Linked DNA regions of Tamandua tetradactyla. The protein of the gene in region 1 purifies or fractionates together with the protein of each later gene. This does not show direct contact. Links are inferred from orthologs where the notes say so. Each region holds a gene or a part of one and is shown on either strand. Other genes may lie near its edges.

Region 1 (7,178 bases):
TTCCATTCACTGGTTCCCTTTCACAGCAAACCTTCTCCAAAGAATTGTCCGTACTTACTCTTCCACCAACTCTAACCCACTTCTGCCTCCATCACTCCTCTGGAAGTTCTCCTGTTAAGGTCACTAATCTGTTCTTGGATCATTCCTCTGAATTCACCTGACTCCATCTCTCAGCAGCATTAGACATGACTCTCAGCTTCCGTCTTTGTAATTTCTTCAGCTGGAGAGATCAGGGCTCTGTCTGGGCCTTCTCCTTCATCTACACCCTCTCTTGAGACTGAATTCCAATCTTAAGGCAGCAGATACCGTCTACATGCTCTCCTACTTTTCAAGATATATCCCCAGCCGCGATCTCTCCTCTAGTTTTACTTTCACACTTAATGTTGTTAAAAACACTTGATTTCAATCCCAATACCTGTTCATATCTCATTTCCTCCTCTGGAATAAACTCTACCAACATCCACTCAGTTGCAAAAACCTGGACATAACCCTTGATTGCTTCTTTCCTTGCATGTCCCCATCCAACTGATCTCCAAGACCTACAAAGTTACTTCAAATCCATCTACATTTCTCCATCTCTTCCTATACCAACCAACCTAGCCCAAGCCACCATCACCCATCTCTTGTCTGGGCCATGATAAATGCATCCTAATGGCTCTGCCTGATCTCACTCTTGCCCCCTCACAATCCATTCTCTAAACTTCAGTCACCATTTCACCCTTCTCTTTTAAACCCTTCCATGGCTTCCCAAATAAATTTGAAATGCCTACTCACAAGATCCTCCAGGACATGGCTTCTGGCTACCTTCCCATCCTCACCCCCACAACCCCCCTCACTCACCTCATCCCAGCCATATTGGCCTTCTTTCTGTTCCTTGAACACACAAAGATCTTTCCCAGCTCTGGATCTTTGTAATTTATTGTTTCTTCCTGGAATGGTTTTTCCAGAGCTCTACACATAACTGGTCCAATATCAGCCTTCTCATGTCTCAGTTGAAATATCTCCTTTTCAGAGAGCCCCTCTCTGTTTTATTCAAAATGATATCTTCCAGCTATTCTCTGTTTATTCTGTTTATTTCTTTCATAGCATTTATAAAGATTACTTATTATAATCTATAACAATCTTGACTAATTATTCATTTACAAGTTCATTTGTTTTTTTGTCTGTCTCTCACACAAGAAAATAAACCAGCTCTTCAACTGTCATGCTCACCACTTAATCACACCAGTGAATACTGTGACTGACACATTGCTAGTCACCAAATAAACACCTGTAAACAAATACTGCCATGAGAAATCCACTTTTACTATTTTTTTTTAATGAGAAACACAAATTCCTGACCGAAGAAGGCACAAATATCTCTCAAAACGACTTCAGAATTCAGGACAGAGAATGCTAACTGTGGAAATTCATTAAGAAAAGCTCCACTTGTGAGCAAGAGGCGCATGGACTATAGAGTCTATATGGAAGGAGTTAAAGGTGCAGTGTCTAATGAAGGGGCAGTGAGCCCCTACCCTCACCATTTCTGCATATTCCAGCTGTTCCTTCTCCTTGTACAACTCTGGGGGCAGGTTATAAATCCTCAAGATGTTATCAGCACTATTGGTCAAAATGCAGGAACCATCAGGGGCCCTAGAAGTAGGAAAGAGTTAGAAGATTGGACAGACACATATTCCACGTGTAGGGGCTAGGGCCTTGCCTATCTCTGGGTAAACCCCCTGAGTTCTCAAGAGAAGTCCTAAAAGTGATTCTTACTCCTTTCTCCAGAGAATTGGGGTGCTTTAGGGTGAAAATCCTGAGGGTGACTATCTCCTTGTCCCATTATCCTTACTTACCACTTGCAGCCTTTCAAGAAGTTCTCAGGTTGGGTGCTGAACTCTGACCAGGAACCAGTAAGAAATCGAGGTAGCTGGGAGAAGCTGTAGTTCCAAGTGCTGGAAAGAAGGTGGGGGGAACAACAAACCTGGGTCGCCAAAGCAAAGGGGGAAACGGGCTTGGAAAAGTGGGGCTGAGGACTGGTGGATAAGGCTTAACTCACACTTCCAAACTCCTCAGACTCCAGAATCAACTGCAATCACCACTTACATGTAGTTCTCATCCTCTGGAGCCAGTTCGGTGCAGCCCTTATCCTCTGGAGCCGGTTCGGTGTAGCCCTCATCCTCTGGAGCCGGTTCCGTATATCCCTCATTCTCTGGAGCTGGTTCCGTGTAGCCCTCACCCTCTGGAGTCGGTTCCGTATATCCCTCATTCTCTGGAGCTGGTTCCGTGTAGCCCTCACCCTCTGGAGCCGGTTCCGTATATCCCTCATTCTCTGGAGCTGGTTCCGTGTAGCCCTCACCCTCTGGAGTTGGTTTCTCCAAACCTTCCATGGCTTCTCCAGGCCCCAAATCCGGCCTGTTCGTTTCTTCTGCAGGAAGGTTCACATTTTCAAAAGGTTCTTGCTCCTCAATTCTAGGACTCAACTTACTAGCAGTAGCAAACCTTGTTTCCAGGGAAGTGGAGAAAGAAGATGGGATCCCCTCCTCATGCTCCTGGAACACAGCTGAGCCAGCCGCAGGATCTGGGGACATCCGGAGCGGATCATCTTCATTGGGCGGCGGTGTCATCAGTTCAGGGTCCGTATGTTTACGCATCGGGAAAGCCGGGGAAGAGTCACGGACTGGAGCCGGGACCTGTACTGAACGAAAGCAGTCCGGAGCTAATGGTCGCGAGTCCGGAGTTTTCATACTGCAGAAGAAGCGAAGTTGGCATTGGCCCCCGGCCCGGCAACAGTCTTCCCGCCGGCTACCGACCGCCTGGCCAGCGGAGGGGTCGGGGCCGCTCCAAAGTTACTAGGGATCCGGACGCAGGGCTGGAGAACCACACCTTGCCTTCTTTTCTCTTCCAAGAGTAGGCAGAAGACCCCAGCAAGCGAGACGAAGGACACCTAGGTTAGGAACAAGCATTCTTCACCTGGGTGGGCCGCTACGCGTCATTGCTCTCGCGGGATTTGGACCGACCTTCCGATTGGACCTCCGCATCCGGATTAGATTTCGCGGGAGATCCACGGGAAGGGCGGGGGCGGGGACGTAACAAACAGGTCAGAAGGTTGGCCTTTCCCATCCAGTCCCGGAGCCCCAGTGCCTGCTGGGAGTCGTAGTCTGAGAGTTTTGCCTTGGCGAGAAGTGCCTGAGCTCCCCCTGCCGTTCACCGCGGTGGTACTTAAAGTCCCTACCTCCCCTTACCTGCAGAGGGTGCCAGCGCTATAATCGCTGGCACCCTCTGCTTTTGACTCACTTTTTCCTCTCATTCGCCAAATTCCTCAGACCTGCCTCCCTTTTCGTTCATTCAATAAATATTTATTTTTGAACCTTTACTTGCTACTTAGCACTGTACTAGAGAATCCATCCGTGAATAAGATGAGAGCAGGGTCTCTGTGCTCATAAGGGTTTTGCTGCTGCTCATTGAAGGCAATGGGCAAATGAACATATATTTTCAGATAGTGATATGGCCTGTGGAGGAAATTATACAGGTTGATGTGGTACTGAGTATCAGTATCTGGAGCAATATTTTGACTGAAATATCAAGGAAAGCCTTTCTAAAAGGCAACATTTTAGCTTATGAAAAGAAACTATCCAGCTGTCTGGGGAAATGGAGCGCCAAGCAGAGGGAAAAGCAAGTGCAAAGATTTTCTTCCTTCCACCCTAAATATTTTACATAATAGCAAGACTTCTCCGAGATGATTTCCACCAATTCTGCCCTCGAATCTCTGGCTTGCGGAACGTCCCCACCACAAAATATGTGTAGCTACAACACCAATTAAACCAGAATGCAGACTCTCTCGGTGCCCTCTTTTCCTTTTCCCCGCCCCTTCGCCTTCGCCTGCAGGCGAATTGCTTGCCCTTACTTGTCATGGCGAATGCAAGCGTTGTGCCAGGAACCTCGCGAGGATTGCCGGGATTGGGACTTTCCCCTCCCATGTGCTCAGACCGGCGCTAAAAGTTTTCAGCTCCTCAAAAGTATAGAGCCACCATCCTGGGCGCAGGTAGCTGCTGGGCTCCGGGGGTACCTGGCGTCCGGGCTCGGAGCGTGCTTCCCAGGACGGTGACACGCTCCCCTGAGGTTCGGGTAAGCCCCTAACTGAGCTTGATGAGTCTTCTCTGAGTCAAGAGCTCTCTGCTCTGTATTGTCAGCTCAGAGAATTGCGGGGGTGGGGGGTAGCGGGTGGGGGCTGGGGGGGACAGTGGAGGCTTAGTGAATTTTGGAGGAAATGGGAGCTTGTCTAGCGGGATCAACATGGGAATGCAATGTTGGGATGACAGGCTTGTAAATGATGGGGTGCTAGACTCAGCCGAACTCAGAGCTGGACACCTCGGCGGTGGAGTGGGGCTTTGGGGAATCTCGAAAGAATCTAACGGGTCCTTTCCGACCCTACCTCCCAATCCAGAGCTGGGTGTGAGGAACTATTAAATAAGACGCCCAGAGCATTGGGATATGAGACTATGATCTCGAAACATTGGGAGCTCGTGGCTTGAGACTTTAGAGCCCATGGCATCGTGGTGGAACCTTGAGCTTCGTCCCGAAAGGATTTGGGGTGGTCAGGGAAGCCCAAGCCGCTAAGGAAGGTCCCACAACGTCCGGATCTTTGCCCTCCTGGAGAGGTAGAGGAAAAAATCCAATTAAAGACTGTACAGCGTGGAAGGAGGAAGTGCTGGGGTTTGCCCGCGGGACTGGGGAGAACTGTCCAGATCTGAGAGGCCAAGGGAGCCCTGTTATTGTTTGGCTCCATATTTGCATTTCTGCCACTTGCACTTGCATTTCCGGTTTCTTTTTTCGGACCAGCTCACTATTCACCCGATGAGAGGGGAGCAAAAAGAGAAAGAGAATGTCATTTAGATCGTTTCCTATTTCTTGCAGAGAGAGGTTGCTGTCCACATCCCATCCCACTTTTTTCTCCCCTGGACTACTCGGTTATCACATTTGGAAAGGAAGGGATGCTGTTTTGATGTAAAACTCAAAACCTCCCCCTCTTCGAATGGGGTGCTCCAGAGTCTGAGATCAAGCCGGGCGCTACCATTGCGTGCGACAGGGGTGTAAAAGAGGGTGCAGAGCGCTAACCTGGGTGTTGTCGAGAAGGGGTAGATTTAAGAAACCACGATGAGACAGTATAATGAAGGGCGGTTTGTTTGCACGGGAGAAAGTTTATCTTACATCCGGCTTTGGGCTAAGTGATTCCAATTTAGGACGCAGACCGAACGTCGTGAAAGCGGAAGGGGCGGGCGCTGGAGAGAGGCGGCCCCGAGGTCCTAAGTCCCGCCCCCTACCCTGGCTGATTCTGCCCTGTGGGAGGCCGCGAAACCTGCGGGAAGTCCTGCGAATCCGTTTCTCCCGCATCTTCATCACGTAGGGCGCGGTAGTTTCATTTAGCAGTAACTTACACGCACCTGTTATGAACCAACGCTTCTGTTTTTTTTTTGCTTTTTCTTTTTTTTTAATTGAAGTAGCATTTGCACAGGTTAACGAGGTTTGTCAAATGTAACCACCGTTGCAACCCACACGCCCACCAAAATATATAACATTTAAGTCGCCCCCGAGTGTTTTCTCATGTCTCCTTCCAGTCATTGCCTTACCCCCACCTTTCTTTCTATCACCATAGATTAATTTTGCCTGTTCGAGAACTTCTGTAAATGCAGTCCTACAAAATGTGGTCTTGCGTCAGGCTTCTTACCTTCAGCATATTGTCTGAAATTTATGTTATTGCATGTAAGAATGGCGTGTTTGTATGTTTTCTTTTTTATTTAGTATATTCCATCGTATGAATATACCATCAGTTGCTTATCCATTCTCCTTTTGATGACCGTTTGAGCTGTTTCCAGTTTGGGGTTACTATGAATAAAGCTGCTATGAACATTCTTGTACAGTTTTTTGTGGTCATATGTTTTCAACTTTCTTTGGTTAAATACTTAGGACTGGAATTGCTAGGTCAGAGAGTAGATACAGTATAAAGAAGCTCTCAGTTTTCCAAAGTAGCTTACCATTTTACGCTCCTACCATCAAGATAAGTGTTCTAGTTGTCCCATATCCCTCCCAACATTTGGTGGTATCAGTCTTCTAATTGTAGTTGTATATCATCCTGGTTTTAATTTGCAGCTCTCTATTAACTAGTGATGTTGAGCAGTTTTTCATATGCTTATTGGCTATTTACATGTCATATGTGAAGTAGCTCTTCAAGCCTTTTTCCCTTTTTTGTTTTTTTTCTTTTTATTATTGAGTTATAGAAATTTAGATATTCAGGACTCAAGCCCTCTGTCAGATACACGTTGCAAATGTTTTCTCCTAATCTATTGCTTTCCTGTTTGTTAGCTGAATAGTGATTTTAATTTGAAATCCCAAATTATCTTTTTTTTTCTTTTATCTTCAGTGTTTCTGTGCCCTGGTTAGGAAATCTTTGCTTATCTCATCTCAAGATCATAAAGATATTCTCTTATGTTTTATGGGAGAGCCTCTATGGGTTTAGGTTTTACATTTATGAGTCATCATGAATTAATTAAAAAATAATTTTGTTTATGGTGTGAGGTAGAGGTTGAGGTTCTTTTTTTTTTCCCTATATGGATGTCCAGTTGTTCTAACACCACTTGTTGAAATAACCTTTCCCCACTGAATTGTTTTTAATTGGGGTGTTGAGTCCATATACATTTAATTCAATTATTGTAGAGTTTGGGTTAAAATCTACCACCTTACTACTATTTCCTATTTGTCTCCACTGTTCTTTCTTCTTCTCTCCAAATAGTTGAGGAAAAAAATATCATTCTTATAGATTCTTTCAGAAAATAGGACATTTCCTAGCTTATTTTGTGAGGCCGTCAAGAAAAGAAAATTTCAAACCAATAGCCCATTAACATATATATATATAAATATAACAAAGTTTAGCAGGTAAACCTGAGAATGTATAAAAAATACATCCTGACCATTGGATTTTATCCTTGGATTGCAATATTATTCAACATTCAAAAATCAATGTAATTTACAGATTAAAAGATAAAAATCCTATGAGCATTTCAACAGATGCAGAAAAAACAATGGGTCGTATCAACACTCATTCAGATTAAAAAAAAATAGCAGACTAGGAAAAGGAAACTTTCTCAGTCTGTTAAAGAGCATCCCCAATCAACTCATTATTAACAATGGAAGTAAAAGTA
Region 2 (7,758 bases), on another chromosome or scaffold:
CCTTTTATTAAAACCCAATCCATCTCTGGTGTGTTGCATTCCGGCAGCCAGCAAACTAGAACAATAGGTTTTGTATTATTTTTGCAACTGACCTTTAAAAAAGTGTGAAATTATTTCAAAATAAAAAGTAGGTTTTTTGTTTGTTTGTTTGTTTTTAGTCTCTCTGTGATAGCAGTGTGGAAAATGAACCAGAGATGAGGGTAAGGCTAAAAGTTAGACTATCCCAACAATCAAATAGATGATGATGCGGTTCTGATATAAGGCACTGACAATGAAGATGGAGAATATGAGATGGTTTCTTGAGATAATAAAGCGAAATGAACAGGTGTTATGTGGGGGAGCCAGGGAAGAGTGAACAGAATGACTCCTGGATTTCTAGTTTAGGTGGCTGACTAGATAGATGATGGTTCAGAGCATAAGGGGTTCAGTTTATTTGTGGACTACCCCTCCATGAAGCTTGTGTGTTTTGTACCCTACTATGAGCCAGTTGACCAAAATAGCTATCATAGCAAGCACTCTGAATGAAATTGCCACAGAACAAAGCACTGTTTCTGCATTTAAAAATTTTTTACTCCAGATTCATTCTAAGATTTAGAAAATGAGATTGATTTTGGAAAGATGCAAAATATCTGGAGCAATTTGGTCATATTCTCTGTTGAGTATTCAAAAATTTTTTTTTAATTTTATTATGGAAAATTTCAAGCACATGCAAAGTAAAAAGAATACCATAATGAGTTCCCATGTCCCCGCCAACAACTTTAACAATCATCAATACATTGGCCATCTTATTTCATCTATTCTGCCATCTACTACCCATCCTTTCCCCTTGCCTTTTTTTGATACTTAGGGACAAAATGTTTCGTGTGTGCTAAAATGTGCATAAAATTAGCCATTTTTACCATATTTACATGTACAATTCAGTGGTATTAACTACACTCATAATGTAATTATTTCCAAAATTTTTCATCACCCCAGTAGACTTTATCCATTAATCAATAACTTCCCATTGCACCCCAACCCACATCCCCTTGTAACCACAAGTCCTTTAGTCTCTATTATGTTGCATAATCTAGATATTTCATGTAAGTGAAATCATACAAACTTTTCCTCTGGTGTTTGACTCATTTCACTTAGAATAATTCAAAGTTCTGCTATGTCATGGCACTTATGAAACTTCATTCCTTTTTATGGCAGAATAATATTCAATTGCATGTTGTTTTGGTTTGCTAAAGCTGACAGAATGCAATATACCAGAAATGGACTGGCTTTTTCAAAGAGGATTTATTAAGTTACAAATTTGCAGCCCTAAATCCATGCAAACATCCAAATTAAGGCATCTAGAGAAAGATGCCTTGACTCTGAAGAAAGGCCGATGGGTCCACGGTTTCTCTGTCACATGGGGAGGCACGTGGCAACATCTGCTGTCATTTGCTCCCAGCTTCTGATTTCAAACGGCCCACTCAGCTGCTGTTTCAAGTGGCTTTCTTTCTAAGAATCTGAGTCCTCACTTAGCTTCTCTGGGGCAAACTCTGGATTTCATGTTAGCTTATCCATTTCCAAATGTCCACGCCTTTGTTTCATCACTCTACTTTCTATGTTGGCTTTCAGCTGCCCGTATGTTTTCTGACTTTTCTTCATAGAGGACTCCAGTAAAAGGATTAAGATCTACCTTGAATTGGGTGGGTCACATCCCCATGGAAACAACTTAATCAAAAAATCCTACCCGGGCGGGCCATGGTGGCTCAGCAGGCAGAGGTCTCGCCTGCCATGCCAGAGACCTAGGTTCAATTCTAGGTGCCTGCCCGTGAAAAAAAAAAAGATCCCACCCACAACTGGGAAGGTTACATCTCTATGGAAACAACCTAATCAAGAAGTCCCACCCAACAACAGGTCTGCTCTCACAAGATTGGATTAAAAGAACATGGCTTTTCTGGGGTACAAAACAGCTTCAAATCAGCTCACCTGCATATACCACATTTTGTTTATCCATTCACCTTTTGATGTGCATTAGTTTTAAATTCTTTTCACTATACACCTAGGAGTGGAATTGCTAGTTCATGTGGTACTTCCATGTTTAACTTTTTGAGAAACCACCAAACTGTTTTCCACGGTGGCTGCACCATTTTTACATTCCCATCAGCAGTGTACAAGGGTTCCAATTTCTCCACATCCTTGGTAACACTTGTTACTTTCTGGGTTTGTTGTTGTTGTTGTTGATGTCAATGATCCCAATAGATGTAAAAAGGTATTTCTTTGTGGTTCTAAGTTGCATTTCCCTAATGACTTATGCTATTCAGCATCTATTCATGACATTATTGGCCATTTGTTCATCTTCGAAAAAATGTCTATTCAAGTCCTTGGCTTACTTTTAATTGCGTTGTTTGTATTTTTGTTGTTGAGTTATAGAAGATCCTCATATATTCTGAATATTAAACCCCTAACTCATGTATTATTTGCAAATGTTTTCTTCCATTTTGGGGGTTACTTCTCACTCTTTTGATGATATTCTTTGATGCACAAAAATTTCTGATTTTGATGTGCTTCAGTTTATCTTATTTTTCTTTTGTTGACTATGCTTTGGATGTCATATTTCAGAAGCCACTGCCAAATCCAAGTTCATGAAGATTTGCCCCTTATGTCTCTTCTAAGTTTTTTATAATTTTAGCTCTTAAATTTATAACCTTGACCCATTTTTAGTTAATTTTTTAATATGGTGTAAGGTAAGGATCTAAATCAACCCAGGATTTTGGACCCCCAAAGTAATACTATTTCTATCATTGCACAGCATATCAGTTTCTAAACAAATAACCATAGAGTGTTTATGTGCTACAGGGAGGTAATCAGGCCCTTTGAAAAGAAGGCTGCACCAAAGGCTTATGGATCACAGAGTGTTTTAGTTTCTCTGGCTACTTAAGCAAATACCATATAATGGCTATTGGCTCACAGTTTTAAGGCAAGAAGTCCAAATCAAGGCGTCATCAAGGTGATGCTTTCTTCCCAAAGACTGGTGTTCTGGTGGTGGCTGCTGGTGATCCTTGGTCCTTGGCTTCTGTCACATGGTAATGTACATGGCGGCCTCTCCCAGCCTCTCACTTAGTTCCACTAACTTTCTGCTTATGGTTGCTCCAGCTGTGGCTTTCACTGTGTCTGAATTCCCTTCTAATTATAAAGGGTTCTAGTAATAGGACTAATATCCCACCTTATTGAGTTCAGTATTAATAGTTAATACCTCACCTTAACTAAAAGTTCCTACTTACTATGGGTTCACACCCACAGGAATGATTTAAGTTTAAAAACATGTTTTTCTGAGTATATAGCTCCAAACCACTGCACAGGGCATCCAGGAAGCTTCGTTTTCCAGTGCTAATATCCTGGTGATGCATGCAAAAGCACCTTTTTTTTTTTTCACATGGGCAGGCACAGGGAACCGAACCCGGGTCCTCTGGCATTGCAGGCAAGCATCCTTGCCTGCTGAACCACCATGGCCCCAAAAGTACCTTTTGATTACAGGATTCAGTACTTGCAACAGTAGCCTTTCAGGCTATGGCAGGCATTCCGCACTTTATGGGCACACAGTAATTACTTCTGAATGAACTTCTCCTGTGTAAACTTCCGTACTCACTTGATTGGAGACAATATAGTAGTAAAGGAGCCTAGAAGTTTATAGCATGGCCTCTGGAATCATTGCCTTGCATTGGAATAGTGTTTCCATCTTCTTACTGGTTTACCTTTGGCTTCAGTTCCTCATCTGCTAAATAAAGATAATGGCACTCAATTAATTGGATTTTTCATAGGACTGCTGGGAGGATTAAACAAGATAAAGCACGTAAACGATTTAGCACTGTGCCCAACATATGATTGTGGAGGATTAAACAAGATAAAACATGTAAACGACTTAGCACTGTACCTAACACATAATTGTACTAAATAATCGTTCGCGATTTTAACACTTAGGCTCCCTAAAATCAGGTGGCTATGTTATATAGGAATTATCAGCGGAAAAGGAGAGTTCTAGTTAGTCTAGATTTAGCAGGCAATCATAGCTCCATAACTAGGTCTTTTGTACTTAAACAGGTTTATTTAAACCTCTATCTACCACCCAGTATAAATCAATGTGAGACAACCAACCCCCATATGCAAAGCAAAGAAACCATCTAGCCAAATATCTCTCTTCCGACTCCCTTTCACAATGAGTAAAACAGAATAAAAATTCAGGTCAGGGAGGTTGGCAAAAGCCAGTTCCGCCACACCCACTAGATGAAAGTTAACGGAGGGGACCTCACCGCTAGAGAAGGGTGGGGAGATAGGAGTGTCTCCAGCATTCGCCTTTAAAATCTCTAGTTATCATTTCTGCCTCGCCCGAGACCGCCCATAGCGCCTCCGGCCCCAATATCTCGGACCAACACCCCACCCCTCTGCAAGCTCGGGAACTCACGGTGCGCAGTCTTTTCGCCTGGCGCGCGGCGGGCAGCCTTCAACGTCATGTCCGCGCCGCGCCTCAGGCAGGCCCCCTACTCCTCCTCGCGGCGCCGGCGCCGATTTCTGGAAGGTTCGTCAAGACCGTGGGTGCACACCGTTATTCCGTTGCCTGCAGGAATCCGCGTCCATCCGACCTTCCCGAAGCCGCACAGATCCAACCAAGCTTGCCATGCCGGAGAACGTGGCTCCCCGGAGTGGGGCGCCTGCTGGGGCTGCCGGCGGCCGCGGGAAGGGCGCCTATCAGGACCGCGACAAACCGGCCCAGATACGTTTCAGCAACATTTCCGCGGCCAAAGGTATCGCTCTCTGGGTCTGTCTGGTCTTGTGCGGGTTATTGTCCGTTTTCTTTTCCTTCTAGTCGTTTTCGATTGGCCTCCCGGTGGTTGAAACTTTGCAGAGGTCCTTTCTGTTTCCCCCCGGTAATATTCGAATTCTAGTAAGGAGGCTTTTGGACTTGATTTATTTGGGTTTTAGTCCCCCGTGATTTTTCATCCTGGGGTGTGCGTCATTCATCGCTTGGTCGCAGAAAACGGTTCGGTCTTGAGTATCGAGGCCTGCGTGTCCCTTGAGATCTGACACTTAAGAGTTGTCGTTTATCTACTTTTTGGATTCACTGGTAGAATATTGTTTGCACATTTTTCAGTTCTCTTGCTTGTTATAAAAACACCTTTTAAATAAGTTTGCCTTGGCACAGCTATTAAGAGGAGTTTGGGTAAACTGCATCTTCTTTGGGGCGGGGCCCATTTTACCCCCGCAGTGGTGATCGATCGTGGAGTGGAAAGGACCCCGAAACTTGGTCGGTAGTGTTTGAGTATAATCATGGAACGCTACATTGCGTGTGCAAATTCAAGAAACGTGGACAATTACTGGTTTTCGTAAAACAGTTTGGCGCATGGTGGGAATGGAGAAGATTTGAGTTTTATTCTCTGCTTCATTACTTCCTAGCTTTGTAAGTTTTAAGTGTTTCACCTCCGAGCCAAGATTTTCTCATTTATAAAATTGAGAAGGAAAATGTTTGCTTTTTAGAGCTTGATTAAGAAGAAGTCGAGCTTAAGTAGGAGAGCGAGGAAGGAAGATGAAGACAAAGCTTTTAAGATCCTGCTCAGGACGATTATTAAGAAGAGTGGGTATTTTATTTGGGTATGTGAGAAATGAGATTGAAAAGGTAGTTTGGGCTCACATCTTGAAGGTCAGGGTGTCTGATTAATCTTCAGCTTTAACAATTCTTCCGTAGAATGAGATGGTAGCTAACTTGTAGGGTTGCTATGAGGGTATAAATGAGATAATTTTTTTTTTAACTATGTATGTAAATACGATTTTGCAGTTACTTGAGGTGATCAGCCCAGGTGACTGGGAGGTGATGATATTAAAAGGAATAGGTAACACAGTAGGAAAGACGGTAGAAGAGAAAATAATAGTTTCTAATTCGGGCTAATGAATTGAAGGTATCAGAAAGATGAGATGCATGGATTTAGAAGTCATTTGCAATTTCAGGACAGAATATACCTGGAATTAAACATTTGATAGACATTTTCTGAGGACCATACTTGAAGGCATAAAATTAGATTTATTAAACTAGAAGATGTTGAAAGATAAACTCTGGGAGGCAAAGAGATTTTCAGTATGTTGGCAGATTATCAATAAGGAAGACAGAGAATGGGAGGTTTAGAAGAGAACCCTTAGAAACTGCCAGTACATAGAGAATTGAAACAGGATAAGAGAAGTATGAGTGTAGGAAGGAAAGACCACCTAAATTATCTTTGAACCTGACTCTTATTAACATATGTAAGAAGAGCTCTGAGAACAAAGGGGCACAAATAGTTTTTCCAAGTCAGACAAAATCCTTCAAGCTAATCAGAAAAGTTGCTGCCTTATGCATCTTTAGTTTAAATTCAGGGAGCCAGTTTTTTGTTTCGGTATTACCAAGAGATATAGATAATAGTGCCATTTGTGGATAATGTTAAACACAAACTCACAAAAGTAGTAGTAGTTTATTACTATCCAGCAAAAGTCATTTAAGAGACACTATTGAATATACAGTATATTAAACCACATTCTGAAATATAAGCAATCTAAAATCGTATTTTTATGTTTTAGGCAGTATGTATCTCTGTATCAAGAGTGTTCACATTGATAGGACATTCTTAAAATGGATTGGTCTGCTTATAGAATCACGGCCATATGGGTCTGCTAAAATCCCCTGAAAGTGTAATGTTGACTGGATAATTAGGAACAGCAACCCAAAGTTATGGAATAATTATATAGAATATAAATTTTAATGTATACCTAATATTTCTCTTTAAAATTCTTAAGTTTTTATGTATGTTCCTACCATATGGGGGAAAGCGTTATCCGAGTTGTGGAGTATACAGAATTAATTAGGGCATAATCTCTGCAGTATGATTGTGGGGCAAAACGGTGTGTGAGAAAGGGGAAGATTTAATCGTTTATCCTGGACTTGTCAAAGAAAAGGGACTGGGGTATTGTTCATCAGTTTCAGTTTCTCCTGGGAAGTGATTGGAAGTGTATTAGTACAATAGAAATTATCTACAAGTAATAAGAATATGACTTGGCGGTTTGGGGGTTTTTGTTTGTTCTGTCAAAGAGTGTTTTGCTCTACAGCATTTTCAGAAGTTGTACCACTACTATTTGCTCTGTTGAAAGTCTTAATGTTGATTTTTTGAATGTGGGCAATCTATATACCAGGTGCTGGAACCACATTAGTGAACAAAACAAAGTCTTTTGCCCTCAGAGATTATACTGTATTTGAGGGAGACAAAGTGAACAAAATAGTAAATTACTTAGTCTGTTAGGAAAAGCATGGCTTTTCCTATGCTATTTGGCCTTTTTTTAAAATTTATCTATTATTTTTTATTTTAAGAAATGGAGGAAATAATCCAATCTTCAGTAATCAAAGTTTGTTCTGCCTTAGGGAGGGCACACATACTATGCACATTGGCTTTACAAAACAAAGCTGAAGCATTATACATTTAATAGGAGCAAAGTAATTCTGTTTCCAGTAGATTATCATATAATGAATTTTTCTTTAGCGTCACAATGAACTATTGTGCACCATATTCTAATAAGGACAGTTTTTTTGAGAGGAAAAATACTTCGCTCTTTGAAGACTCTTGATTTCTTTTTTCCTTCTGTTTACAGCTGTTGCTGATGCTATTAGAACAAGCCTTGGACCAAAAGGAATGGATAAAATGGTAAAAAAAAAAGAATGATTTATTTTTTACTGAGCACTACTGTCAGCACTACAAGATTTGATGTAGA

Evidence for each region. Proteins that work in one complex are often made in the same cells at the same time.
Region 2: the proteins of WRAP53 (region 1) and CCT4 purify together in Homo sapiens (co-immunoprecipitation; 3 studies listed by BioGRID and IntAct, with this or other methods). This does not show direct contact. The link is inferred for Tamandua tetradactyla from reciprocal best matches to the Homo sapiens genes WRAP53 and CCT4.

Annotation. Positions count from the first base shown.
Region 1 is NC_135332.1:61,507,788-61,514,965, reverse strand, and holds the start of WRAP53 (telomerase Cajal body protein 1), read right to left. Parts: upstream 3,039-7,178; 5' UTR 2,727-3,038; coding exon 2,086-2,726; intron 1,935-2,085; coding exon 1,836-1,934; intron 1,633-1,835; coding exon 1,521-1,632; intron 1-1,520. UniProt on the Homo sapiens protein: RNA chaperone that plays a key role in telomere maintenance and RNA localization to Cajal bodies. Specifically recognizes and binds the Cajal body box (CAB box) present in both small Cajal body RNAs (scaRNAs) and telomerase RNA template component (TERC).
Region 2 is NC_135343.1:34,675,317-34,683,074, reverse strand, and holds the start of CCT4 (T-complex protein 1 subunit delta), read left to right. Parts: upstream 1-4,490; 5' UTR 4,491-4,648; coding exon 4,649-4,775; intron 4,776-7,638; coding exon 7,639-7,691; intron 7,692-7,758. UniProt on the Homo sapiens protein: Component of the chaperonin-containing T-complex (TRiC), a molecular chaperone complex that assists the folding of actin, tubulin and other proteins upon ATP hydrolysis.